4 linked regions of the Anolis sagrei genome follow. The protein of the gene in region 1 interacts with the protein of each later gene in a biochemical or structural test. Links are inferred from orthologs where the notes say so. Each region holds a gene or a part of one and is shown in the gene's direction. Other genes may lie near its edges. The genes, in order: ATXN3, RAD23A, PRKN and calpain-2 catalytic subunit.

The links.
Region 2: the proteins of ATXN3 (region 1) and RAD23A form a complex in vitro, tested with the Homo sapiens proteins (2 studies listed by BioGRID). The link is inferred for Anolis sagrei from reciprocal best matches to the Homo sapiens genes ATXN3 and RAD23A.
Region 3: the proteins of ATXN3 (region 1) and PRKN form a complex in vitro, tested with the Homo sapiens proteins (4 studies listed by BioGRID and IntAct, with this or other methods). The link is inferred for Anolis sagrei from reciprocal best matches to the Homo sapiens genes ATXN3 and PRKN.
Region 4: of the proteins of ATXN3 (region 1) and calpain-2 catalytic subunit, one has a biochemical effect on the other in vitro, tested with the Homo sapiens proteins (2 studies listed by BioGRID). The link is inferred for Anolis sagrei from reciprocal best matches to the Homo sapiens genes ATXN3 and CAPN2.

What each region holds. Positions count from the first base shown.
Region 1 is NC_090021.1:315,863,061-315,870,968, reverse strand, and holds the start of ATXN3 (ataxin-3), read left to right. Parts: upstream 1-4,907; 5' UTR 4,908-4,976; coding exon 4,977-5,000; intron 5,001-7,908. Other genes in the region: NDUFB1 (NADH dehydrogenase [ubiquinone] 1 beta subcomplex subunit 1), read left to right, coding at 425-461. UniProt on the Homo sapiens protein: Deubiquitinating enzyme involved in protein homeostasis maintenance, transcription, cytoskeleton regulation, myogenesis and degradation of misfolded chaperone substrates.
Region 2 is NC_090022.1:162,469,951-162,477,739, forward strand, and holds the start of RAD23A (UV excision repair protein RAD23 homolog A), read left to right. Parts: upstream 1-4,786; 5' UTR 4,787-4,950; coding exon 4,951-5,022; intron 5,023-7,789. UniProt on the Homo sapiens protein: Multiubiquitin chain receptor involved in modulation of proteasomal degradation. Binds to 'Lys-48'-linked polyubiquitin chains in a length-dependent manner and with a lower affinity to 'Lys-63'-linked polyubiquitin chains.
Region 3 is NC_090021.1:66,823,640-66,830,843, forward strand, and holds the start of PRKN (E3 ubiquitin-protein ligase parkin), read left to right. Parts: upstream 1-4,194; 5' UTR 4,195-4,420; coding exon 4,421-4,427; intron 4,428-7,204. UniProt on the Homo sapiens protein: Functions within a multiprotein E3 ubiquitin ligase complex, catalyzing the covalent attachment of ubiquitin moieties onto substrate proteins. Substrates include SYT11 and VDAC1.
Region 4 is NC_090021.1:38,504,419-38,511,509, forward strand, and holds the start of calpain-2 catalytic subunit, read left to right. Parts: upstream 1-4,069; 5' UTR 4,070-4,176; coding exon 4,177-4,413; intron 4,414-7,091. UniProt on the Homo sapiens protein: Calcium-regulated non-lysosomal thiol-protease which catalyzes limited proteolysis of substrates involved in cytoskeletal remodeling and signal transduction. Proteolytically cleaves MYOC at 'Arg-226'.

The sequences.
Region 1 (7,908 bases):
ATGCTACATGAAGCCAGTGGGCCATGTTTCTACTCCTGTTTTTACTGTTAGCTTGAACGTGGTGGAGATGATGTCTTCTATTGCTCTAGTAACCAAAATTATTTTGAAAATGTAACTGAAGAGCGCTGAACATCTTTATTTTATTTATTCAAAAAAAATATTGGGAACAGGCCATATATCCAATTAGGGATTTTGAGTACAAAAAATTACAAACATATTATTTTAAAAATAAATTGTCATCTTTATTACTATTTGAAATATTGTTCAAAAAAGCATAAAAGTGAAGACTTGTGGTGAAGTTTTTTCCCATCTGTTACCAAAATTGCTAGTTGCATAGCAGAATATACCGTACTTTTAAATGTGAACAATTTTTTCTGGAAAGACAACATTCCTAATTTGATAATCCTTTCTTTCATTTTCACAGGGAATTGAAACCTGGAGAAGAAGTCACATGGAAATAATGTTTCAAATGAAATGATCGTGTCATTGAGTGAAACAAAAATTGTTAGTCCCGGGCCATCTATTAAATTCATGACTTTAGCAGGAGCTTAAGAAGTTACTTTTAAGAAGAAACACATAACATTTTTTCCAGTTATGAATGAATGTCATTGCATTCATTTTTCTTTAGAGTAAAATTCTAAAGTTTGTATTTCTGGAATTTCTTCTCTGGGGACATACACATGAGATCTTTTTTCCACCTTTAAATAAAAAGAAGATGACAACCAGCCTAAAAAGTATTTGGATGTTTTGTTTTGAAATTCTCTCTCCCAAAACTTTATACTTTGCTGCATATTAACAAACAAATGCATTAAAATATATCTATTTAGTGCTGGCAGTGGAAATATAAATAGCTTTAGTTATACATTTGTTTTACAAGGCATTCTACATAGGAATATAAATCAGTGAGAGGGGAAAATATACACCTCTAAAACTTTGTCAGCTTTTTAAAATTTCTTAGTGCTTTTAAAACTCATTTGTTTGCTAGAAGAAAACACTGCAGATATCAGGAATACCAGAAATAGGGCACTGGACGTTTGCATTTTTTGTTTGGAATCCACCCTGAGTCCCTTCAGGGAGATAAGAGTAGAATATAAATAAAGTGTTATTGTTGTTGTTGTTATTATTATTATTATTATTACCCAGATGAGTATCTCTGAAGCATAATGGAGCTTTGAAGACCTAATTAACCATTACTAAAATTTCATTTCAAAAAGGAAAAAAAACACATAATGAAGGAGGTATTCTAATCTGTCCCTTATTCCTTCGGCATTTAGGAAAGGAGGATGATGTGTTTTGTAATCTTTGTCCTTACCATTGTATTTTCTTCTGTATATGATTGTAAAAGCTGAACAGTGAGGAAAGCCTATGTCTACTCATTTGAAATGTCATGCCAAAGAAGAGTTCTGTGACTGCCAAAAAGACAAATAAATGGGTCTTGGAGCAAAGCAAACTTGATCGCTCCCTAGAAAGCAAATGACTAGACTTAAACTTGTACTTTGGACGTATCATGAGAAGACATGACTCATTAGAAAAGACAATTGTGCCTAGTAAAGTAGAAGGCAGTAGGAAAAGAAATCATGCATTAATTCGACAATGTAAATAAGGAATGGCCAAACTTGGGCACTCCCGTTGTTTTGGATTTCAACTCCCACAATTCCTAATAGACAATAGGCTGTTGGGAATTGTGTGGGTTGAAGTCCGGGGGCCTCATCATACTAGAGAAAAAAATCCACTTAAAATCCGGTTGCTGCCTCCTGCAGAATTAATGATTTTTACTGTATTCCTTATTGTTATATGCTGACAGCATCACATGATGCTTATGTGAGGCCGCCCTGAATCCCCCTTCAGGGGGAGAAGGGCAGGATAGAAATCTATATAAATAAAAATGTAATGTTCGTTTGTGGGATTAACAGAACTCAAAAACCAGTGGGCCAATTGACACCAAATTTGGACAGCATACACCTAACAACCCAATGTATGTCCTTGACTCAAAATTTTTTGATTTTGTCATTTGGGAGTTGTAGTTGCTGGGATTTAAAGTTCACCTACAATCAAAGAGCATTCTGAACTCCACCAATTATGGCATTGAACCAAACTTGGCACACAGGACTCCCATAACCAAAAGAAAACACTAGAAGAGTTTGGTGGACATTGACCTTGAGTTTGGGAGTTGTAGTTCACCTACATCCAGAGAGCACTGTGGATTCAAATCTGGACCAAACTTGACCCAAATGGATCTGGACCAAACTTGACCCAAATATTTCATATGGCCAAATATGAACACAGATGGAGTTTGGGGGAAATAGACCTTGAAATTTGGGATTTGTAGTTACTGGGATTTATAGTTCACCTACAATCAAAGAGCATTCTGAACCCCACAAACGACAGAATTGGGGCAAATTTCCCACACAGAACCTCCATGACCAACAGAAAATATTTAAGGCCATCCAGTCCAACTCTTCACTGCAAGAAAATTCAATCAGAGCTCTCTTGACAAAGAGCCATCCAGCCATACAGATAGATAGATATGATTGACACACACACAGATATAGTATCATAGATTTTAAAGAGACCCTTAAAGATATGTTGCATATTCCAGAGTAGGCAAACCAGACACTCTCCACATCAACATTGACAAAGAAACAGCAAGCAATACTGTTTACCCACAAGCATAAAGAAATTACATATTTATTATTATTATTATTAACTTTATTTGTACCCCGCTAGCATCTCCCAAAGGACTCGATGCGGCTTACATAGGCAGAGGCCTCAAAAGACAACAACATAACAATACACATAACATTATAAAGCAAATCAAAAACATCAAGCAATAGACGATAAACAATACACCATAACACAATTAAAAACTAGGGCTGGGCCGATTGTAATGGGTACAGATTAAAAGGTGCTGAGTATGACAGGTAACATGTAGGATTTTAGGGTAAGTGCAATGTGCAGACAATCTTAACTCTCTGATAAAGTGCTTCTGGGACATATTGCTGGAGTTTCCTATTCTGGAAAGGCACACCGGAACAGCCAGGTCTTCAAGCTCTTCCTAAAGACTGCCAGTGTAGGGGCTTGTCTGATGTCCTTGGGGAGGGTGTTCCAAAGTCGGGGGGCTACCACAGAAAAGGCCCTGTCCCTCGTCCCCACCAAACGCGCCTGTGACACAGGTGGGATCGCGAGCAGGGCCTCTCCGGATGAACGAAGGGAACGCGTGGGTTCATAAAAGACAACAACATAACAATACACATAACATTATAAAGCAAATCAAAAACATCAAGCAATAGACTATAAACAATACACCATATTTATTTATTTATCGTGTCATCCGCAACCAGAACATTGTATTACATTTCTAACAGAAGAAAACAAACAAACATTAAAAAAACACACAAATTTTGCAAACTTGGTAGCTGATTAAATGTCCTTTGACCAGTATCTGGCCACTTGGAGTGCCTCTGGTGTTGCCGCAAAAAGGTCCTCCATCGTGCATGTGGCAAGGCTCAGGTTGCTTTGCAGCAGGTGGTCAGTGGTTTGCTCTTCTCCACACTCACATGTCGTGGATTCCGCTTTGTAGCCCCATTTCTTGAGGTGGGCTCTGCATCTCGTGGTGCCAGAGTGTAGTCTGTTCAGTGCCTTCCAAGTCGCCCAGTCTTCTGTGTGCCCAGGGGGGAGTCTCTCATTTGGTATCAGCCATTGATTGAGGTTCTGGGTTTGAACCTGCCACTTTTGGACTCTTGCTTGCTGGGGTGTTCCAGCGAGTGTCTCTGTAGAACTGAGAAAACTATTTCTTGATTTAAGTCGCTGACGTGCTGGCTGATACCCAAACAAGGGATGGGCTGGAGATGTCACTGCCTTGGTCCTTTCACTATTGGCTGCTACTTCCCGACGGATGTCAGGTGGTTGCTATACCGGCTTTTGTTGTTCATTCGTTCAGTCGTATCCGACTCTTCGTGACCTCATGGACCAGCCCACGCCAGAGCTCCCTGTTGGCCGTCACCACCCCCAGCTCCTTCAAGGTCAGTCCAGTCACTTCAAGGATGCCATCCATCCATCTTGCCCTTGGTCGGCCCCTCTTCTTTTTGCCTTCCACTTTCCCCAGCATAATTGTCTTCTCTAGGCTTTGCTGTCTCCTCATGATGTGGCCAAAGTACTTCAACTTTGTCTCCTTCCCTCCAATGAGCAGTCGGGCTTTATTTCCTGGAGGATGGACTGGTTGGATCTTCTCGCAGTCCAAGGCACTCTCAGCACTTTCCTCCAACCCCACAGCTCAAAAGCATCGATCTTCCTTCGCTCAGCCTTCCCTAAGGTCCAGCTCTCACATCCGTAGGTTACTACAGGGAATACCATGGCTTTGACCGGCTAGACTGTGTAATTTCTCCAGTGGTGTAGGGCGCAGACACCCTGTGATGATGCGGCATGTCTCATTAAGAGCCACATCCACTGTTTTAGCGTGGTGAGATGTGTTCCACACCGGGCATGCATACTCAGCAGCAGAGTGGCATAGCGCAAGGGCAGATGTCTTCACTGTATCTGGTTGTGATCCCCAGGTTGTGCCAGTCAGGTTTCGTATGATATTGTTTCTAGCACCCACTTTTTGCTTGATGTTCAGGCAGTGCTTCTTGTAGGTCAGGGCACGGTCCAGAGTGACTCCCAGGTATTTGGGTGCGCTGCCATGCTCCAGTGGGATTCCTTCCCAGGTGATCTTCAGAGCTCGGGATAGGGCATGAATTAAATATATAAAATAAATGTTGTCAATTGGAACCGGAAGTGTGGGTAAAACAGAGCACGCTCTCCTTAGCATCCTCTCTTTGACGTATGGGTTGAGCTCATAGATAGGTTGCGGGGTGAGGTAAAGCCCAGCCTCGAATGACGAAGCGGCGGTGATTGGTCGAAGGGACGGAGCCTGTTGCGATTGGCTGACTCTCCGTCACGTGGCGCGGAGGCTGGTGTCGGTGGGGAGACAAATAAACATGGAGGCCATCTTTCACGAGAGGGTGAGTGGGCGCCTTGGAGGGGCCACGCGGGATCCGGCAGGGAGGCGGGAGAAGCCAATTCCTTGTCTTCTCGGAAGAAGGAAGGAAGGAAGGAGGGCTTGTCGCTCCCGCTGGAAGTTGAGGCAGAGAGCTGGAGGCCTTCCGGGGAAGCCTCCTACTCGGGGACCGAAGTTAATGTTGTGAGGAAGGAGGGAAAGCTGTATCTACATCAGGCATGGGCCAAGTTGGGCCCCCCAGGTGTTTTGGACTACAACTCCCACAATTCCTAACAGCCTACGGCTGTTAGGAATTGTGGGAGTTGTAGTCCAAAGCACCTGGGGGGCCCAACTTGGCCCATGCCTGATCTACATTGTAGAAATGGGTGGAGTTCTTGCTGGTGGCAGTGAGTCCCAAATAGGGAAGTATGAGTCTCAACATGGAGGAGGAGGAGGAGGAGGGTGTGTGGGCTCAGCCCTGTTTTGTCAGACACTTAATCACAACCCTGGCATGGGAGCTTCTGCTACTGGTCCACCTGCTTGCTCCACTTCACTGACATCTGTCATGATATCACTCTTACAATCATAGAATCGCAGCGTTAGAAGTGAAAAGTAATTAGACAGGTAATTGTGGGGTGGATGGTGACTTGAATACCTGCTGGATACAAAGAACATGAGCTGAATCATGAGGAATAATAATAATAAACTGTATTTATACCCGGCCACCATCTCCCCAAGGGGACCTGGGGTGGTTTACATGAGGCCAAGTCCAATCTATATAAATAAAAATGTAATGTTTGTTTGTGGGATTAACAGAACTCAAAAACCACTGGACGAATTGACACCCAGTTTGGACACAAGACACCCAACAACCCAGTGTATGTCCTTCACTCAAATTTTTTTGATTTTGTCATTTGGGAGTTGTAGTTGCTGGGATTTATAGTTCACCTGAGTTCGCCTTCAGGAGGAGAAGGGCAGGATAGAAATCTACATAAATAAAAATGTAATATTTGTTTGTGGGATTAACAGAACTCAAAAACCAGTGGGCCAATTGACACCAAATTTGGACAGCATACACCTAACAACCCAATGTATGTCCTTCACTCAAAAAAAAAAAAATGATTTTATCATTTGGGAGTTGTAGTTGCTGGGATTTATAGTTCACCTACAATCAAAGACCATTCTGAACTCCACCAGTGATTGAATTGGACCAAATATGGCACACAGGACTCCCATGACCAACAGAAAATACTGGAAGGGTTTGGTGAGCATTGATATTGAGTTTGGGACTTGTAGTTCACCTACATCCAGAGAGCACTGCGGACTCAAACAATGATGGATCTGGACCAAATTTGGCACGAATATTCCATATGCCCAAATATGAACACAGATGGAGTTTGAGGGAAATAGACCTTGACATTTGGCAGTTATAGTTACTGGGATTTATAGTTCACCTACAATCAAAGAGCATTCTGAACCCCACCAATGACAGAATTGGGGCAAACTTCCCACACAGAACCCCCATGACCAACAGAATATACTTAAGGCCATCGAGTTAAACTCCCTTCACCAGGGCAAGAATACATAATCAAAGCCCTTCTGACAAAGAGCTATCCAGGCATAAATATAGATAGATAGATATGATTCACACACACACAGAGATCATAGATTTGACAGGGACCCCTAAAGAAGGACAATTATGTTCCATATTCCAGAGTAGGCAAACCAGACCATCCACACATCAACACTGACAAAGAAACAACAAGAAATTACATATATTAGAAACCCACACTTTCACATTACTTTATTTTCCAGATTACCAGACTGGGCCACAGCAACGCGTGGCAGGGGACGGCTAGTCTATTTAAATAAAAATGTAATGTTTGTTTGTGGGATTATCAGAACTCAAAATCCACTGGATGAATTGACATCCAATTTGGACACAAGACACCTAACAACCCAATGTATGTCCTTCACTCAAAAAAACTGATTTTGTCACTTGGGAGTTGTAGTTGCTTGGATTTATAGTTCACCTAAAATCAAAGAGCATTCTGAACCCCACCAACGTTGGAATTGAACCAAACTTGGCACACAGTTCTCCCATGACCAACAGGAAATACTGGAAGGGTTTGGTGGGCAGCGTCCTTTGGTTTTGGAGTTATTTATTTATTTATCGTGTCAGGAGCAACCAGACATTTGTATTACATTTTTAACAAAACAAATAGATAAAAAACAAAGTTTGCAAGCTTGGTAGTTAATGAAATGTCCTTTGACCAGTATCTGGCCACTTGGAGTGCCTATGGTGTTGCCGCAAGGAGGTCCTCCATTGTGCATGTGGCAGGGCTCTCAGGTTGCATTGCAGCAGGTAGTCTGTAGTTTGCTCTTCTCCACACTCGCATGTCGAGGATTCCACTTTGGAGTTGTAGTTCACCTACATCCAGAGATCACTGTGGACTCAAACAATGATGGATCAGGACCAAACTCTCCACGAATACTCAATATGGCCAAATGTGAACACTGGTGGAGTTTGGGGAAAATAGAATCTTGACATTTGGGAGTTGTAGTTGCTGGGATTTATAGTTCACGTAAAATTACAGAGCATTCTGAACCCCACCAACGATAGAATTGGGCCAAACCTCCCACACAGAACCCCCATGTGGGCCACAGTAACGCATGTCAGGGGATGGCTAGTAGTACAATAAAGCAATATACAACAGAAAAAATAACATACAAAATCAATACAAATATACACATCAAACAATATAAAATCAGAACACTTGAACACAGAAAATTAATCACAGTGGGCAGGGCCAGTTGCAAAGAATTAAAAATTTAAAAACACTGGTTGAGGGAGCAATGTAAACTGTCAGGATAGCAGATCCGGGGGACAACGTATGATTACTAGCAGGAAAAAAGTGCTTCCAAGGACATTT
Region 2 (7,789 bases), on another chromosome or scaffold:
GCGAAACGTCAGGAGAGAATGCCTCTAGACCATGGCCATATAGCCCGAAAAAACCTACAACAACCCACTGTTATCAGTATGCTGATGACACCCAAATGTATTTCTGCATTCCTTCCAAAACTGATTTAGCTAAGGATTCTGTGTCTCCACAGAACGAATGCCTGTAGCAGGTAATGGGCTGGATGAAGAAAAACAAATCCTGACAAAACAGGTACTTGCCATCAAGCTGGGGGATGGAAGTTTGTCAGTTCTGGATGGAGTTACACTCCTGAAAGACTGCTTGCAGAATCGTAGAGTTGGAAGAAACCTCACAGGCCATCCAGTCCAACCCCCTGCCAAGAAGCAGGAAATTTGCATTCAAAACACCCCCAACAGATGGCCATCCAGTCTCTGTTTAAAAGCCTCCGAAGGATCCTGGATCCATCTCTCCGAATTTCAGTGCATGTAGATGTGGCAGTCAGGAGTATTTATTAGCTTTGGCTGATACACCATCTGTGCTCCTTCCTAGATTTAGAGGACCTAAAGATGGTAGTGCATGCACTGATGACCTCATGTTGGACTTCTGCAATGTGCTTTACAATGGGCTACCCTTGTACCAAATTTGGAAACCAGCTAATTCAAGATGCAGCAGCCATCTAGGAGTGAACATATCACACCTATCCTAAAGTCACTCCACTGGCTGCCAATTAGTTTCTGGGAAAGTACAAGGTTTTGATCTTTAAAGCCCTACATGGTTTGAGTCCAGGTTACATAAAGGATCACCTTCTCCCATACAATGCACCCCACACACTTTGGTCTTCTGTGGGGCGTCTGCTCCAACCAGCTAGAACTCAACTGGCAACTACCACCCAGAGGATCTTTTCGTCAGCCGCCCATGACTGGAACAACCCACCGGAAGAACTAACAGCTAAATGAGCTGTCAGAATTTAAAAACCATGTAAAGACCTATTTTTTCTGGCAAGCCTACTCAATCTAAACATGAATGTTAAGTGTCCTTTGTTTGATCTCTGTTTTGTGTGTTTTAGTATGTAATTGTAGATACGTTTTGGTGTGTAATTTTTATGAAGGTTCATTTTAGTGTTTTTGCTGTGTATTTTAATTGTTTTGTAACCTGCCTTGAGCCATAAGGAGAGGCGGGTAAGAAGTATTATTATTATTATTATTATTATTATTTAATGCAGCTAAACGTAGACTTGTATAACATGGTCAGTGGAGTTCAAACTGCAGAATATGGCAGTCTTTGATAGTTGTCCATTGCAGTTCTGAGACAAGATTTTATTTATCATGTCAGAAGGAATTGAGAATACAGTTATAATGTATGAAAAACCACAAAGTTAAAACTTGGCATTATACTTAATTTCTTTTGACCAGAAGCTGGCCACTTTGAGTGCCTTCTGGTGTTGCTGTGAAAAGACCCTCCACTGTGCATGTGGCAGGGCTCAGACTGCATTGTAGTGAGTGGTCTGTGCTTTGCTCTTCTCCACATTTACATGTCATGGACTCCACTTTGTGGCTCCATTTCTTAAGATTGGCTCTGCATCTCGTGGTGCCAGAGCTCAGTCTGCTCAACACCTTCCAAGTCGCCCAGTTTTCTGTGCCTAGGGGGGAGTTTCTCATCTGGTATCAGCTGATTGAGATTCTGGATTTTAACCTGCCACTTTTGGACTCTCACTTGCTGAGATGTGCCTGCAAGTATCTCTATAGATCTTAGGAAGCTATTTCTTGGTTTAAGACTTGGTTATGTTGGCAGATATCTGAACAGAGGCTGGGCCGAAGATGTCGATGCCTTGGTCATTTCAATACCAGCTGCTACTTCTCAACAGATGTCAGGTGGTACAATATAGTATAATTTTCTAGCGATGTTGGGCATAGACATCCTATGATAATGTGGCATGTCTAATTAAGAGCCACATCCACTGTTTTAATGTGGTGGGATATACAAGGGTTGGAACCTTAATAGTGGCAACACTGCTGTAAAGACGCCATGCAACAAAACCAAAGAATGTCGCGTAAACCACGTTAGTTACATACCTACCTTAACTCTGAGCAAAAAGACTCGCCCTTCCTACATCATGCGCATACGGAGTGACACGAAGAACTGAGCCTCGAATTAGTTTACGGTCTAATAAGTGTCGTCACGATGTTTTCTAAACAAGAACAACAGAGATGGATAAAGATTGAATGTGCCAGAGGTCGTACAGCACGACAGTGTCATCAAGGTTTTCAAGAGGCTTGCAGGGAATCTGCATTGCCTTATAGAACAGTGGCAAGGTGGGTAAAAGCCTTCAACGAATGATGCCAAAATGTGGCAGACATGCATTGGTCAGGTCATCCTAGTGTCAGCAAAGCAGAAGTGAATGCTGTTGCTGCACTTGTAGACAGTGATCGACACCATACAATTCATGAGCTGGCCCAAAACACAGGATTTGCGCATATGACCGTACAACCTCTGGCACATTCAATCTTTATCCAACTCTGTTGTTCTTATTTCAAAAACATCTTGTCAACAGTTACTTTAGACTGCAAGCTAATACAAATCTCAGTTTTTCACATCACTCCACATGCCCGTAATGTAGAAATGGTGAGTATTTTTGCTCAGCGGTAAGGTAGGTATGTAACTAATGTGTGGTATACGCAACATTCTTTGGTTTCGTTGCATGGCGTCTTTACAGTAGTGTTGCCACTATTAAAGTTCCAACCCTCGTATTGCACACTGGGCTGGACATGTCAATGCTCTGGTCCTTTCGTTACAGTCTGCTATTTTCTGGCGGATGTCAAGGAGCCACCACCACACTCCGGGGCAGAGAGTTCCACTGCTGAACAGCTGTCACGGTGAAGAAGTTCTTCCTAATATTCAGATGGAATCTCCTTTCTTGTACAGGGTGAGGCAGCATAACTTCCTTTTTTAAAATGCGTACCATTCAGTCGGTTGAAGATGTGGTCTTGTTCGAGAGGCGGGAGTATAAATTTTTGTCCTGACACAGTTCAGTCGGCATCATGCGTTGGGACAGTGAGGAGCGTGCTTTTGCCATTGAGGCCTACTTTTCGAGCGGATTTGGAGTGGCCGGCCCGCTCTCCAGATTTGGCCCCTTGTGATTTTTTTCTATGGGTTTTTTGAAATCCCGTGTTTATGTGAACCGTCCAAGGACCCTACAAGATTTGAAGACCAACATCCAGGAAGAAACTGCCAACATAACGCCTGCTATGCTGGCAAGAGTCATGACAAAAGCCAAAAATCGGTTTACTCAGTGTATGGAGAATGGGGGACGTCACCTACCTAATTTGATCTTCAAAACTATGTAAAACAAAACTTTAGGTAGGCGCTTACATTACAAAAAAATAAAATAAAAATTCTGATTCATTCAATGGGTTTTATTAAGTTTTGAAAAAAGGAAGTTATGCTGCGTCACCCTCAAGTTTGAAGCCATTGCTCTGCGTCCTAGTCTTCATGACAGCAGAAAACAAGCTTGCTCCCTCCTCCCTATGACTTCCTCTCACATATTTATACATGGCCCTCACCATGTCTCCTAGAATCAAAGAGTTGGAAGAGACCTCATGGGCCATCCAGTCCAACGTCCTGCCAAGAAGCAGGAATATTGCATTCAAATCACCCATGACAGATGGCCATCCAGACTCTGTTTAAAAGCTTCCAAAGGAGCCTCCACCACACTTTGGGGCAGAGAGTTCCACTGCTGAACGGCTCTCACAGTCAGGAAGTTCTTCCTCATGTTTCTTGTAGTTTGAAATCATTGTTCCACGTCCTAGTCTCCAGGGAAGCAGAAAACAAGCTTGCTCCCTCCTCCCTGTGGCTTCCTCTCACATATTTATACATGGCTATCATATCTCCTCTCATCCTTCTCTTCTTCAGGCTAAACATGCCCAGCTCCTTAAGCCGCTCCTCATAGAGCTTGTTCTCCAGACCCTTGATCATTTTAGTCGCCCTCCTCTGGACACATTCCAGCTTGTCAACTTCTCCCTTCAATAGTGGTGCCCAGAATTGGACACAGTATTCCAGGTGTGGTCTATGCAAAGCAGAATAGAGGGGTAGCATTACTTCCCTAGATCTAGACACTAGGCTCCTACTGATGCAGGCCAAAATCCCATTGGCTTTTTTGCTGCCACATCACATTGTTGGCTCATGTTTAACTTGTTTTCCTCGAGGACTCCAAGATCTTTTTCAGACGTACTGCTCTTGGGCCAGGCATTGTCCCCCATTTTGTATCTTTGCATTTCGTTTTTTCTGTCTAAGTGGAGTATCTTGCCTCTCAACCTTCTCTTCAGGCTAAACATGCTCAGCTCCATAAGCCGCTCCTCATAGGGCTTGTTCTCCAGACCCTTGATCATTTTAGTCGCCCTCATCTCTCTTCAATTGTGGACTCCAAAATTGGACACAATATTCCAGGTGTGGTCTAACCAAGGCAGAATAGAGGGAGAGCATGACTTCCCTAGATCTAGACACTATGCTCCTATTGATCCATTGGCTTTTTTTGCCACCGCATCCCATTGTGGGCTCATGTTTAACTGGTTGTTCATGAGGACTCCCAAGATCTTTTTCACAGCGTTCAGAAGAGTCCCCTCAAAGCGCTGAGGTGCAGCTTGCAGTCCCTGATCAATCCCTATGGTTGGAAGAGCGGCTCCAAAGCAGTGGCGGGAAAAAGGAGGCCCGTGAAGATTAACCCCCGCCCCCTCCCGCTGGCACACCACCCGGAAGTCAGACTCCCTCCTCAGCCTCCGACTCTATGGTCGTGAGCCACGCGCGTTGCCCCATTCGTCCTTCCCGCGTCACGTGGGGAGGGCCTGGCGGGCAACGGAAGTGGCGCCAAGGGGCGATTAAAATGGCGGCGGCGTGAAGTTGCATGTTGTGGTGGGGGCCCCCGCTGAGTCCGTTGGCAGGAACCGCCCGTCTTCGCCGCCGCTGCCGCCGCCTCTTGGGCCTTCGCTCCCGCCGCCATGGCGGTGACCGTCACCCTCAAGACCCTCCAGCAGCAGACCTTCAAGATCCGGATGGAGCCCGAAGAGACGGTGAGCTCCCTCCCTGCCTGGCGCCCTTCCCGAATTAGCCCTCCCGCTTCCACGGAACTCACATTGGGTGATTTTATTCTCCATGGTGCAGTGGGTTAATCCCTTGTCCCAGCAGGACTGAAGACCGACAGGTCGCAGGTTCGAATCCGGGGAGAGCGTGGATGAGCTCCTTCCGTCAGCTTCAGCTCCCCATTGCGGGGACATGAGAGAAGCCTCCCACAAGGATGATAAAACATCAAAACATCCGGGCGTCCCCTGGGCAGCGTCCTTGCAGACGGCCAATTCTCCCACACCAGAAGCGACTTGCAGTTTCTCAAGTCGCTCCTGACAGGACAAAAAAATATTCTCCACTAGCCGTCCCTTGCCACACGTTGCTGTGGCCCACATAGGGGAGGTTTGGCCCAATTCTATCATTGGTGGGGTTCAGAATGCTCTGCGATTGTAGGTGAACTATAAATCCCAGCAACTACAACTCCCAAATGTCAAGATGGGGGTCACCCAAGATTATCAGGAAACATAATATTTTCTGTTGGTCATGGGTATTCTCTATGGGAAGTTTGGCCCAATTTTATCATTGGTGGGGTTCAGAATTGTAGGTGAACTATATATCCCAGCAACTATAACTACTAAATGTCAAGGTCTATTTCCCCCAAACTCCACCAGTGTTCACATTTGGGCATATTGAGTATTCATGTAGTTTGGTCCAGACCCATCATTGTTTGAGTCCACAGTGATCTCTGGATGTAGGTGAACTACAACCCCAAAACCAAAGGACACTGCCCACCAAACCCTTCCAGTATTTTCTGTTGGTCATGGGAAAACTGTGTGTCAAGTTTGATTCAGTTCCATCGTTGGTGAGGTTCAGAATGCTCTTTGATTGTAGGTGAACTATAAATCTCCGTAACTACAATTCCCAAATGACAAAATCAATTTTTTTGAGTGAAGGACATACATTGGGTTGTTAGGCATATTCTGTCCAAATTTGGTGTCAATTCGTCCAGTGGTTTTTGAGTTCTGTTAATCCCACAAACGAACATTACATTTTTATTGATATAGATAGGAGCCCCCGGTGGCGTAATGGGTTAAACCCTTGTGCCAGCAGGAGACTGACAGGTCGCAGGTTCAAATCTGGGGAGCGCGTGGATGAGCTCACTCCGTCAGCTCCAGCTCCCCATTGCGGGGACATGAGAGAAACCTCCCACAAGGATGATAAAAACATCAAAACATCCGGGCGTCCCCTGGGCAGCGTTCTTGCAGACGGCCAATTCTCTCACACCAGAAGAGACTTGCAGTTTCTCAAGTCGCTCCTGACAAGACAAAAAAATATATATTCTCCATAGTATTTATTTATTTATTTACCGTATTTGTATACCGCCTTTCTCAGCCTATCAGTGACTCAAGGCGGTTTCCAACAAAACAGTATACATAGTATCATAATACAATTTAAAACATTAAAATTACATAAATCACACAACAAGGCTGATCTGGCCGGGGTGGTCCATGCCTTGGTCACCTCTAGATTGGACTACTGTAATGCGCTGTATGTGGGGCTGCCCTTGAAAACGGCTCGGAAATTCCAACTGGTCCAATGGGCGGCGGCCAGGTTGTTAACTGGTGCTCCTTACAGAGAGAGGTCAACCCTCCTGTTTAAGGAGCTCCGTCTGATGTCCTTGGGGAGAAAGTTCCCCAAGGAGCTTGTCTGATTTCAGGAGCTTGTCTGATGTCCTTGGGGAGAAAGTTCCAGAGTCGGGGGGCCATTCATTTTCCGGTCCCAATTCAAGGTGCAGGTGCTCACCTACAAAGCCCTAAACAGTTTGGGACCTGCCTACCTGCGTGACCGCATCTCCGTATATGAACCCACACGATCCCTCCGTTCATCTGGAGAGGCCTGTTCGCGATCCCACCTGCGTCGCAAGTGCGTTTGGTGGGGACGAGGGACAGGGCCTTCTCTGTGGTGGCCCCCCGACTCTGGAACTTTCTCCCCAAGGACATCAGACAAGCCCCAATGTTGGCAGTCTTTCGGAAGAGCTTGAAGACCTGGCTGTTCCAGTGTGCCTTTCCAGAATAGGAATCTCCCAGTATCATGTCCCAAACGCACTTTACTAGAGATTTAAGATTGCCTGCACATCGCACCTACCCTAAAATCCTTACATTTCACCTGTCATGTCCAGCACTTTTAATTTTAGTCATTACATTTGGCCCGGCCCTAGTTTTAAATGTGTTATGATGTATTGTTTTTAATGTTTTATTGCTATTGCTTTTAATGTTTATTGGTTTGCTTTATGAATTTTATTGTTGTACATGTTATGCTGTTGTTTTATTGAGAGCCTTGGCCTTTGTAAGCCGAACCGAGTCCTTCGGGAGATGTTAGCGGGGTACAAATAAAGTTAATATCCTCCTCTGGACTCATTCCAGCTTGTCAACATCTCTCTTCAATTGTGGTGCCCAGAATTGGACACAATATTCCAGGTGTGGTCTAACCAAGGTAGAATAGAGGGATAGCATTACTTCCTTAGATCTAGACACTATGCTCCTATTGATGCAGGCCAAAATCCCATTGGCTTTTTTTGCCGCCACATCACATTGTTTGCTCATGTTTAACTTGCTGTCCACAAGGACTTCAAGATCTTTTTCACACATACTGCTCTCGAGCCAGGCATCCCCCATTCTGTATCTTTGAACTTTTTTTCTGCCTAAGTGGAGTATCTTGCATTTGTCACTGTTGAACTTCATTTTGTTAGTTTTGGCCCATCTCTCTAATCTGTCG
Region 3 (7,204 bases), about 250 Mb from region 1:
ACAGCTGTAGGGCCTTCTCTGTGGGGTGCCTAACCCTATGTGAACGGGAAATGTGTACATGTCTGTCTGCACTTCCATCAGAAAGCCCATCCATTCTTGTTGTATGCTGGTTGCTGAGGCAACAACTCTATGTGGGTGAAGAGGACTGAGTGTGAGGCAAAATGTTCACACAGCCTACTGTCACCACCTATACTATAACAGCAAAACAACAATTTACTGGAATAGGTATAAGAGTCTTCTAACTCCTTTTCCTCAGAAAAATGCCAGAACAGGCGCCAAAACACCTTTTCCCGCTCTTTCTACACTATCAGCACAAAATCCCATAGAAATCTATGTATACTGGTGAAGGCAAAATGGCCGCCGCTTCTTTTTGAGGGGACAATAAGGCTGTCACAGTTCTGATGTTACTATAATAGGATGAACACAAAATGGCTGCCAAACTGTAAAAAACCCCTTTTGGCGCCAAATGCCCCCTTAAGACAAATAGCAGGTGCTAGCTTTGCCCTTTTCACTCTCTGACAGGAAACAAGCCTCCAATGTCTTTTAAAAGGGCAGGCAGGCAGCTTTTTTACTTTAAAAGCTGCCCCTAACTCTCCTTACTATAAAAGTATTCAATTTAGCAACACTTCACCCAAGTATTCCTATAACTTTGTTACACTTTCCAATGGAAAAGTGGAAACAGTGCCTTTTTCTCTCACACACCCTGAGGGAGAGGGCTCTCTCTTTTCTTTCTATAAGCGATCCGAATCGGCCACAAGGCCGATCAGGCTCCCAATCACTATGTAAACAGTGCTTTTTCTTCTCTCACACCCCCTTTGCAGGGAGTGGGCTCTCTCTTATAACTTTCTATAAGCAATTTGAATCGGCTACAAGCCGATCAGGATCCTAATCACTGTGATGGCACACCAGGGAGATCTAATGAAAAACCCAAATGTGTCTGGCTATTTTCCCAGTGACCATCGATATGCCCTAATTACTATAATTCCCCCAAAATAAAACTCTATAAACAAGATTAAGTTTAACCAAATTGAGTTTACTAAACAAACAAGATGAATTACAACAATGTACAAAGGTGAAGATTAATTATGATGGTATAACTGAGGTAAATATAACTATACACTATGGGGGATGATGTAACTATCTATCTATGACAAATATTATCTATCCTTTATTACATATATTATCTATAAACTATCTATCTAACTATCTATAACTATTCTATGGCAAATACAACTATCTACGAACTATCTATTATAAACTTTAGGGCAAATACTATCTATAAGGCAAATACGTGTTATAAACTTTAAGGCAAATACGGCTATAACTATTCTATGTATATTACTATTTATCTATAAGCTTTGGCAAATACGTGATTAGGATGGCCTGTTCAAATTGCTTGGCCAGACCAGACACTATCTGGCAACTATCTATAAGCTAAGACTGACAAAGAATGGGAAACGAAGTTCTATAACCAGCCCATTCTGGCTCTGAGTCAGAATGGGCTGCACCAACCGAACTCGGCCTCTAGGGGAACCTAAGCTCTCCCCTAAACTTGGTAAAATGGAACAGTCCAACTGAGAAATAAACAGGCCGAGACATCACAGTGCCATTTTGATCTCTCTGGGGCCGGTATTCCAAAGCATTTCAAGCTGCATTATATGGCAGTGTAGATCCAGCCTTTTTCTTCCATGGCTATATACTGTGGCATCATGGAAGTTGTAGCTGCAGGTCTTCAGACTTCTCTGCCAAAGAGCACGGGTTCTCCATCAAACTACAGCCTTCCAGATTACCTTGCATTGAGCCATGGCATTAAAGTGGTGCCAGACTGCATTAATTCTACAATGTGTTGATGCAGCCCATCTTAGGACCTAAGGCTAAACACAAAATCCATGTATATGTCATATACACCTGTTGAGTTTTATTAATCTTATATATAACTGTCTAAGGTTCTCAAAAGCATTCATTTTGATTCTTCATCATCCTGTATCCCGGTTTACATCATCATAAGACTCTGAGCTATAGTCAAACTATTTGCATTGAATTTAGACTATAGAATAGATGGAGAAACCAGGGAAAAATAATTAAACACTTGAACATAGTGAGATATAAATATTCAATAGTATTCTCATACGTTTGTATTATGTAAAGAGAAATCAAGGGTGGAGATTCACGGGTGGAAATGAGGAGGTCGTGGGACTGAGGAAATAATACTTGTATTTCAATTGTTTCTATGTATGTATACATATTAAAAATAAAAAAATCTTAAAAAATATACACCTGTTGAAAGTGCAGTATGCTTTAAAGAACTGATTATTATATATGTACACAAGATGAATATAACCAAACATACCAAAACAATTGCATTTTGCCTTCTGCTTCTTTTCCTTTCACTAGTATATTGTTTTAAATTTTGATACAAGAAAATTACACTTTAAAAGTTCATTGCAAAGGCATTCAAATATTTTAGAAGTAAGAACTAGGTTGCATAATTTTCCCCCAATTTTTAGGCACCCTGATTAAAATTATCATCTGTAGGTCTAATGCACTCACAAATGCTTTCATTATTCTAATTTAGTACATGTTTTGCATTCATCCTTTATTTGTTCTTGAGGCTGACTTCTGGAGAGTAAATCTCTCATTGCTGCCTATAAATATAGTCACTGACCTTCTCTCCCTTGCTGTCTAACATCACTTTTTATATTTACACATTTGCTAAACTTGGGGACCAAAGAGAATGTGCTTTTTTCTCTCTTGCAAAGTGTGTTCCTATAAATAATGGACAGGGGGATGAATGATCAATACAAGACAATAAATGGTTAACAGTTCAACAATCTCCACAGAGTTGCTGTGAGTTTTCTGGTCTGTATGGCATTTTGCCGAGACGTCTATGGCAGGCATCCTCAGAGGTTGTGTGGTCTGTCAGAAATTAGCCAGATTGAGGTTTATATATCTGTGGGGCTGGGGGTGGTAACAGCGGACAGGGAGCTCTGGCGAAGGCTGGTCCATGAAGAATCGGTCCATGGAAGTGACTGAATGAATAAACAACAACATATCTGTGGAATGCCCAGGGTGGGGGGAAAAACTCTTCTTTGTTTGAAGCAAGTGTGAATGTTGCAGTTGGCCACCTTGATTATCATTTAATGGCCTTGCACCTCTGAGGATGCCTGCCAAAGATGTGGGTGAAATGTCAGGAGAGAACGCTCTGAAACACGGCCATACAGCCTGGAAAACTCACAACAACCCAGTGATTTTGGCCATGAAAGCCTTTGACAACTCAGTATCCACAGAAATGTATGTATTGTTTAATGGTAGCCATGCAGAATATTTTAAGGCGAAATAAATATACCCATACTGAAGAAGAGTTGTTATAATGATTGAGGATGCATCTGCACAGTTGAATTAATGCAGTTTGACACCACTTTACCTGCCACAGCACAATGCTAGGAAATCCTGGGATTTTTAGTTTAGGCAGGCACCAGCTTTCTTAGGCAAAGAAAGCTAAAGACCTTGTAAAATTACAGATACCACCACTCAATAGTATGCTATAGAGCTGGCATGGAAAAACTCTGGCCCTCTGGGTGTTTTGGACTTCAACTCCCACAATACCTAACAGCCTCAGCCACTTTCCTTTTTTACTAGTTAACGTGGCGTGACTCTGCATAAATTCAACAGTGTAGATGCATTCTTAGTCACCTACAAATTCCACCTGAAATTACAATTTTGTGTAAGGTGTTCAAATGACACCAGTGAGCAGCAATGCAATCACTGATCACATGGTCGAAGCACAGAATTGCAAACGTTGCATAAACGTTTTGCTTTGATTTTGGCAATATATTTATGTATATGTGTGTGTGTGAATATATATATATATATATATATATATACACACTGAAATATTACTTTTTAAAGGTATATACATTTTTGGTAAAATGTTTTTTTTTAAATCCACAAATGTTATAAAAACAGACTTCTACAACTGGAAGACAACACAAGAGACAATCCCCAAGGCTGGTGCAACATTGTGAAAATAGATAAGATTGAAACATAAGTTGCTAAGGATGTATAGAAAGCAACCTCTCCCCTCCTTTCCTTCTATTGAACAGGGCCAAGCAAGAGGCTGCTGTCTCCACGCGCCGTGACGTCACCCACAGGCGGGGGGGGGAGGTAGCTCTGGTCACGTGACACACACCCTTACCTACACACACTACTCATTGAATTCAGTAGCTGGAAGAGGTGAAGGCGCGGGCAAGGCGGCGAGAACTACGTTTCCCAGAAAGCACTGCGAGGTTCCCCGCCCCGCCCCCGCCAGCATTGCGTCTAAAGTCCGGCCGGCCTGCAGGGAGCGTAGTCTTCAGAAGGTTCAGACTTGAGTGGCGGAAAGGACGGGGGTTGAGAGCGCCCCCTTCTCCCACCGCTGGCAATGATAGGTGAGTGGGACCCGGATGCAGCGTGTGTTTCCCCCTCCCCGTCCCCTTCATTGGCTCTCTCCTAACAGAAGGAGGGGGATCTCAGGGAAGCAGAGGCTGGTCTGCTCCAAAATACTTTTCTCATGTTGAATAATCTAAAACACTTAATTCCTAGGCGCACATACAGGGTGTTCCTCAAAATTGTATACACTTTTAGCAGATCATAATTCTATTTTTGGCATTCCCCTCCCCCCCAAGTATACCCCTTTAACAGCTTGGAATTTTGGGATTTCTTTGCATTTTTAGAGCCAAAATATATGTCACTTTAACAACTTGCAATTTTGGATATTTTTTTTACCCTTTTCCCCCCAAAAAACATCTATTCCCTTAACAGTTTATAATTCTGGATTTCTTTTTCATTTTTTACAAAGAGATGTACAGCCTTTAACAGTTTACAATTATAGATTTATTCCAACTTCCTTATAAAACATACATTCTGAAAAGTCTAATTCCAGTTCTTTTTTTTTTCCTTTGGCAATCCCCTTCCCAACATTTTAAAAAAATTCTCTGCCACCCCTACCCCAAATATATAAAAGATCCCAATACAGGTTGTCCCTGAGTTACAAACATTCGACTTACAAATAACTTGTAGTTAAGAAAGGGGCTGAGAACAGAAAGTGAGAGAAATCTACCCCTAGAAAGGGAAAATCACTCCTGAAATTTTTGAAAAACATACATATACAGATAACTGTGAGCAACAGGATCATAGATAAATATATTGCTAGAGAAGACTTGAAGAAGGTTGTCATTTCCAACATGAAAGAGTCATCATGGGGAAAGGGAGTCTCCACTGAAGCTTTCTCACCAATCCTTGTTTCCACAACAAACCAAATGATCCAAAATCCAATGGCCACAGAGACAGAAAGGGAGGGAAATCTTCTGAACAGGGACACAGATAGTAAAACAAACTCCACAGGATTGTTAACCCTTCTCTATATTACCCATCTATACACACACACACACATATACATACACACACATATATATATATTATATATGTATTTATAACATTTTCTCACCCGGGAGGGGACTCAAAGCGGTTTTCACATAGGTAATGGCAAAATTAAATGCCAGCACAAACAATTACAATTATACAATTACAGTTAGACATAAATCAAATTAAAATACATCCATATACACACTCTACACAAACGCACATGCACAGCTGGAATTACACTTTAAAAATGTACCTGTTCCAATTTGTAACTTGGGCACTGTAGAAAGGTGTTGTGCAATTATAAACAAAACATTAAGGGAAGTTGGCAGCAATGTACTTTACAATGTGAACAGTTGAATGGCTGCACAGGAATGACAAATTTGAACATATTACCATACAGTGGTAATAAATCATTATTGTAATGTTTATACGTCAATATAAAGATATTTCCTTAGCCATAAAGCAGTCATAATTACTAACTGTGAAAAGTTGTCTACATTTGGGGAGGGGCTATCAATCTATGTATACACACACACCACTTTGCCAATTCTACAGGATTCCAATATTATTTAGGTGCCTAAATATAGTCAGCAATCCATATCCACAAATTCTGCATTTGCAGATTTGACCAGCCATGGCTTGAAAATATTAAAAACAAAAGACATGTATGGGACACAACTTTACTGTATATAATAGGACTTGATCCAAGCCCTAGTGGAGACCACGGGCTCATTGTAATCTAAAGGCACCCAAACACATCTGATCTTAGAGGCTAAGTAGGGTCAGGCCTGATTAGTACTTGGACAGCAGATCATCAACAAATACCAACAACTGTAATCTGTACCAATATTTCAGAAGAAGGAATGGACAAACCCACTTCTGAGTACTCCTTGCCTATGAAAACAGTATGTTATTCATAAGTTGATTAAAAGCAGCATACACATAAGTGGTAATGTATACAGTATTGCCTTAGGCTCTATTCAGAGGAAAGCAATGGAAAACGCTATAAAATTTATGGGATTTCCATAAGTTTACAGGCAACACACACAAAGATATCCAGGTATCTCCAGATACTGCACTGTTCAACTTAAGGGAATGTATCTTATGAAGAAAAACCTTTTCTTTTCATTTTCAAAGTAGAATATCCCAATACACTGCAGCCCTCAAGCTTTCTGATGCTACTGCTTCTTCTGTGCTGGCAGCACAGCTGCTTTTATTAGAGGCCTGCAGATAATCTACAGGTGATGGGGATGAAGAATCGATACATACCAACCCTGTTTCCCTTCCTAGGCCCATAGGACAATCAGTTTAATTATTTGGAAATATTTTGTTGATCAGGGCTTCTTAAACCTTTTCCTCTCACAACCTTTTTAACGTAAGATATTTTTATATGAGCAAGTAGGTATATAAATAGGCATACAAATCAATCTTTTACTGATAAGAAATCAATATCTGCATGGCTTTCTAAACAGAATGATTTTCTTGTTTCTGGAGTATAGCTGAAGCATTTTCTGCAGAGTCCACTGTAAACACTGCACATTGTTGTTAACAGAGTTGCAGAAATGAATGGCATCCAGCAACCTTCTACTGTTGCCAATTTTTCCTGACCCCAACATTGAGCAAAGGGGATCCCGTTTGGGGTCAAGACCTATAATTTAAGAAGCAGTGTTCTAGATTATCGGATCTGCCTTTTAGCTGCATTTTGTTTCAATCCAATAGGTGGGCCTTCATGAATCACATATAAATGATGTGACTAAAAGCCCTTCCACACAGTCCTATATCCCAGAATATAAGAGCAGAA
Region 4 (7,091 bases), about 280 Mb from region 1:
CAAGAGAAGGTTGCAGGTTGTTATTTCTGGATTTCAGATATTTCTGGAGTTCACAGGAAATTTCAGCACAATGGTATAATTACTGTGGAAGGCGGAATGACCTTTGCATCTTTTCTCCAAAAAAAGGGCTACAGGAGAAAAAATATTCAGATCTCCCACAGACAGTAAGTAACAACAAACCAATGCACGAAACCAGGGGTGTCAAACTCATTTTCACTGAGGGCCAATTCAACCTTCAAAGGGTTATTGAATCAACGGACAGAGAATCTATGGATACAAAGGGCCAACTCTCTCTCTCTCTCTCTCTCTCTCTATCTATCTATCTATCTATCTATCTATCTATCTATCTATCTATTAGTCTGTGCTCTTTAGGTTTTACTCAGTTTGGGTCCCCAGATGTTACTGAATTACAACTCCCATCAGTTTTTATTATCGTCAATGTGAACTGGGGATAATGAGAATTGCAAAACAACAGGACTTATTTCTCTGAGGTTGGGAGAAGGTTAAAGGACATTTTAAAGTCAGACATCACATCAACAAGCCTTGTATCTGAATTCAGACCCAACTATCCTGACTAAACAAGACAAACTGCAGCCTTCAAAATAATAATAATAAGTAATAAATAATAAATAATAATAATGGTGATCCCAGTGATCGGCACACTGGATGCAGTGCCTAAAGACCTTGGCCTGCACTTAAATACAATCGGCGCTGTCAAGATAACCATCTGCCAGCTGCAAAAGGCCACCCTACTGGGATCTGCATGCATTATTCACCGATACATCACACAGTCCTAGACACTTGGGAAGTTTCCGAAGTGTGATCCAATACAACAGCCAGCAGAGTGATCTTTTTTGCTGTGGACTCATCTTGTTGTGTTTCAAATAATAACAATAGCACTTTATTTATATTCTGTCCTTCTCCTTGAGGGAATTCAGAGCGGATTACAGCATATAAACAGACACAGGCAAACATGCAATGCCTTGTTACAAAGGCATACAATGAAACACAAATACACAAAGACAAAGGCTTCTCCTTTCATTTCCAGCTCTGGAGGCAGTACTCATCTCTGGCTCTGAGAGAGGTGTTCATTTCCATTTCCAAGCCGAGGAGCCTGCATTGTCCATGGACACCTCCTGGTCATGTAGCCGGCATGACTGTACAGAGTACCTGTTTTTCTTCCTGCTGAGGCATTACCTAGTGACCTACCCACATTTGCATGTTTTTGAACTGCTAGGTTGGCAGGAGCTAGGGCTAACAGCACGAGCTCACCCTGTCTCGCAGATTCAAACTGCCAACCTTCAGGTCAGCAATTCAGCAGCACAAGGGTTGACCCCATTGTGACTGTACTGTATCACAACTCCCATCAGCCGTGGTCATCGTGTCTAATGATGTGAAAAACAGGAATTGTAGTCCAGCATCTGGAAGGCCACATAAAATGACATGGAAGCCCACAAACCTTGGATTTGACACATGTACATTAAATATACTCATTGGAAAGATGGACAGAGATTCTAACCAAATGGGTGCCAACCCCATCAACTTCCAGCAGCATTCAAAGAAAGCTGAGCTTTGCCTTTTGTGGCTGCCCTAAAAGTTAAAGATTTCTGATATTATTTATTCATTAAAACTATTTGTTAAGCATTTTCCTACCTGCCACAGCTCTCAGACTACTGGGAAATGAAATGAAAACATGGCAGTAATGGGATAGTATATCTGCTTACAAATAGGTAAGTAAAGCTTTCAAACAAGGAAGTTACATTACTCCTTGTGGGATGCCTTCCATAAATTTCACTCATTTATTTCCGATTCTTACTTTCTGCATTCACTTTTTTGGGCTGTCCACATGGTGGCTATCCAAATCCTTCTATTCCTCCACTCACATTTTTTCTTCATAGTTATTCCATCTATTCCCAGAATGCAGAAAGTCCAGTTTTTTTAAAAAGGAGAAAGTTACCTACCTTGGTCCAAGAAGGAAAAATAAAAATAAGAATTCTATATGACTCAAATGCTAACTAACACACAACATGCTTTATACATAATGTTATGAAATGTAAGCCCATTATACACTGTCATATAACATCCATCTTATCTGCTTTGAACTGGATTATATGGCAGTATAGACTCATATAATCCAGTTCAAAAATAGTATGGATTATCCGATTTGATAATCTGGATTATATGGCAGTGTAGAAGGGGTTGTAGTGACATAGAAGTGCCCAGACATTGCACTTGTGTTACTGTGTTACTGCCTGAGGGGAAAGTCCATGTATCTCTTATCTACAGTATATGAAAACATATAATAAATAGCCTGAAAAAACTCCAAAAGAACCTTTTTTTCCCCATGTAAATATACTGGAACACCAAGATTTGAAAATATGTAAGTATATTGTTGAAGGCTTTCATGGCCGGAATCACTGGGTTGTTGTAGGTTTTTTGGACTATATGGTCATGTTCTAGAAGCATTCTCTCCTGATGTTTCACCTGCATATATGGCAGGCATCCTCAGAGGTTATGAGGTTGACCCTGATACCCAAATGCCTGGTCCCAGAACCATGACTTCAGCTTCTTCCTAAAGGAAAGGAGAGATGGAGCTGACCTAACTTCACTAGGAAGCATGTTCCAAGAGCGGGGAGCCACCACCAAGAAGGCCCTGTCTCTCATCCCTGCCAAACGCATTTGCGACAAAGGCGGGACCGAGAGCAGGGCCTCCCTGGATGATCTTAAACTCCAAGGTGGGACATCCATAGCATTGAGCCATGGCAGTTAAGTGGTGTCAAACTGCATGGTGTACCTTTAATCTGCCATGGCTCAATGCTATGGAATCATGGGATTGATAGTTTGGGGAAGCACAGCAGCACTCTTTGGCAGGGATGGCTAAAAACCTTGCATAACTACAACTTTCAAAATTCCATAGCAGCTATAGTAGAGGTCAAATTACATTACTTTCACAGTTTGCCATAGCTGACCCCCCAGTGGTGCAGTGGGTTAAACCGCTGAGCTGCTGAGCTCGTTGACCAAAAGGTCGCAGGTTCGAATCTGGGGAGCGGCATGAGCTTCCGCTGTCAGCCCCAGCTTCTTGCAACCAAGCAGTTCAAAAACATGCAAATATGAGTAGCTCAATAGGTACTGCTCCGGCGGAAAGGGAACAGCACTCCATGCAGTCATGCTGGCCACATGACCTTGGAGGTGTCTACAGACAATGCTGGCTCTTTGGCTTAGAAATGGGGATGAGCACCACCCCCAGTTGGACATGACTGGACTTAATGTGAGGGGAAAACCATTGTTCTGTGAGGCACTATCCCTTTTTGCCTGAGAAGGCTGAAGACCTTAAAGCAAGCATGGGCCAATTTCGGCCCTGGAGGTGTTTTGGACTTCAACTCAGAATCTGCTTCTTGGAGTTCCTACCAAGATCAGGAAAATTACATTCAAAGCACCCTCGACAGATGGCCATCCAGCCTTTGTTTAAAAGCCTCCAAAGAAGGAGCCTCCACTATACTCCGAGGCAGAGAGTTCCCCTGCTGAACAGCTCTCACAGTCAGGAAGTTCTTCCCAATGTTCAGATGGAATCTCCTTTCTGGTAGCTTGAAGCCATTGTTCTGTGTCCTAGTCTCCAGGGCAGCAGAAAACAAGCTTGCTCCCTCCTCCCTATGACTTCCCCTCACATATTTATATATGGCTGTCATGTCTCCTCTCAGCCTTCTCTTCTTCAGGCTAAACATGCCCAGCTCCTTAAGCCGCTCCTCATAGGGCTTGTTCTCCAGACCCTTGATCATTTTAGTCGCCCTCCTCTGGACACATTCCAGCTTGTCAATATCTCTTGTCAATTGTGGTGCCCAGAATTGGACACAATATCCCAATAATCCCACAATTCCTAAGAGGCTTTGGGAATTGAAGTCCAAAACACCTGCAGGGCCAAAGTTCGCCCATGCCTGCCCTAAAGTCTCCAGGATAATTCCACAGCATTGCGCCAGGGCAGTTCAAGCGGCATCAAACCGCATTAACTCTCCAGTGTGAAGGCATCCGTGAGGGCACCTCCCCGCCCCAGGCGAGGAGATTTCCCCTCGTTGCGATGAATCACCATCCGGCTGGGAGGGATTCTTCTCTCTGGACACTTGGCAGAGGAGTTGCAGCTGAGGGCGGGCATTCCTCCTTCGGCCGGGGCGAGCCACCATCATGTCTGGGATCGCAGCGAAAGTGGCCAAAGACCGGGCGGTGGCCCAAGGGCTGGGCTCCAACCAGAAGGCGGTCAAGTACCTCCGGCAGGACTTCGGGGCGCTCAGGGACGAGTGCCTGGAGGCCGGGAAGCTCTTCCAGGACCCCTCCTTCCCCGCCGGGCCCCCCGCCCTGGGCTTCAAGGAGCTGGGACCCCACTCCGCCAAGACCAAGGGCATCGTCTGGAAGAGGCCCACGGTAGGAGGGAGCAAGGGAGGGAAGGGGCCGGGAAGGAAACTTTTGGGGGCACACCTCCATTCTGTGGGATCCTGGGAGATGGAGTTTGGAGAGGCACCAGCCCTCTTCCGCAGAGAAGGATAAAGAACTCGAGTAGACTACATGTTTGTTTTGTTTTGTTTCTTCGTGTCAGGAGTGACTTGAGAAACTGCAAGTCGCTTCTGGTGTGAGAGAATTGGCCGTCTGCAAGGACGTTGCCCAGGAGACGCCCTGATGCTCTGATCTTTTACCATCCTTGTGGGAGGCTTCTCTCATGTCCCCGCAAGAGGAGGCGGAGCTGACAGAGGGAGCTCATCCGCCCTATCCCCAAATTCGAACCTACAACCTGTCGGTCTTCGGGGCTCCTAAAGACCTGGTGAAAATATAGCATTGAGCCATGGCATTTCAAATGGTATTAATCCTACCAGGAATGGGCAAACTTGAGCCCTCCCTTCAGGTGTTTTGGACTTCAACTCCCACCATTCCTAACAGCCTCAGGCCCCTTCTTTTTTCCCCTCAGCCACTTAAGGTTGGGCCCTCCCTCCAGGTGTTTTGGACTTCCCACCCTCCCTAATAGCCTCAGGCCCCTTCCTTTTCCCCCCTCAGTCACTTAAGCTTGGGCCCTCCCTCCAGGTGTTTTGGACTTCAACTCCCACCATTCCTAACAGCCTCAGGCCCCTTCCTTTTCCCGCTCAACCGCGTAAACTTGGGCTCACACTCCAGGTGTTTTGGACTTCAACTCCCACCATTCCTAAAGAGCCTGCGACTGTTAGGAATTGTCTTCAAGCCACTTCTGACTTATGGCAACTTATGAGGCTGAGAGTGTGTGACCTGCTCCAAGTCACTTTGTGGATTTCCATGGCCAAATGGGAGAGGAAATTGTAGTTTTTAGTGCACAAAGCACTCCAGGCAGTCCTCAAGTTGCGACCAAGTTATGTTTTGTAGGTTTGTTCATAAGTTGAATTTGTATGTAATTCGTAACAGGTAATTTTTTAAAAGTGTATCTCCAGCCAAAAATATACATACATTTTAGCTTTGGATTGCATAGGGAAGGTTTAACATCCCTGTGGTGTTTGTTTTGCTGTCTGCCTCCCTGTTTAGAAGATTTCACCTCACTTTCTGTCCCTTTGATGACTGGATCTTGAAAAATTGGACTTGTGGAATCAAGGGTTGGTGATAGCGTTTCAGTGGAGACGCCTTTTTCCTATGATAATTTCCCCTGGTGGCCCAGCGAGTTAAACCACTGAGCTGCTGAACTTACTGACCGAAAGTTTGGCATTTCGAATCTGGGGAGCAGGGTAAGCTCCCGCTGTTAGGCCCAGCTTCTGCCAACTTCTGCCAACCTAGCAGTTTGAAAACATGCAAATGTGAGTAGATCAATAGGTACCACTTCTGAGGGAAGAGAAGGGCGCTCCATGCAGTCATGCTGGCCACATGACCTTGGAGGCGTCTACGGACAACTCTGGGTCTTCAGCTTAGAAATGGAGTTGAGCACCACCTCCCAGTCGAACACGACTAGACTTCATGTCAGGGAAAACCTTTACTTTTATTTTTAATTCTTTCAGGAGTCAAGTTCCCTTCTTAGGGGTAGATTTATCTTATTTCCTGTTGTTTCACCTCCATTCTTAACTATGAGTCGTTTGTAAGTAGGATGTTTGTAACTTGTGGATTGTCTGTAGATCACACTGTCTTGCCTATTAAATACCCATTGTTTATTTGTTTGTTTCTGTGCCTATCAAGTTCCCTCACTATTACATTTATTTTTCAGTATTCAAACTATGTATCTATCCATCTATCTATCCATCTATCTATCTGTCTATACACACATATACAGACACCACACACATGACACACAACACAGTGGGACTAATCTAGAAGGCTTGAAGACTATTCATTTGTGTACTACAGGTATTACAGAATCGGGGAATGTTACTTTTTGAACCACCACTCTCCAGGTCAATATGGAGTAGAATCATAGAGTTGGAAGTGACCTCATGGACCATCCTGTCCAACCCCCCCTGCCAAGAAGCAGGAACATCAAAATGTCTTGGATTACAAACACCATAATCCCTAACTAGCTTTGGCAGTGCACTGGAATGGTGAAATATGCCCTATATCAGTGCTTATTAATGTATAGAAGTGACTTCTGCAAGATGTTTTGGAACCAGGATATGTTAGCAAGCGTTAAAGATGTTTTTCCAGCTTGACCACTTGCAGCTACCCAGCCATCATAAAATACTCAACTTGCTTTGAACAGGAAAAGTTTAAAAGGCCTAAAACAGGAAAGGTCAATCAGTAAAGATTCTTATCTGTCCACATAATAATTTAGAGATAACAAGCTAATCTTACAGATTTAAAAATCTGATATTTATATAACTCTCCAGATGCTACTAGACTCAAACTCCCAATTGCCGTATCCAGTATAGTAAATACTGAAAAACAATGGTCCAACAATATTCAAGGAGCTAGAGGTTTCCACTTATGTAATTATTATTATTATTATTTGTTTAAAAATCTTACTAGTTGCTTTTCTGCCCATTAAAGCCCATTCCACACAGCTGAATAATATCCCACATTTTCTGCTTTGAACTGGAATATATGGCCGTGTGGACTCAGATAACCCAGCTCAAAACAGACATATTGTGGGATTTTCTGCTTTG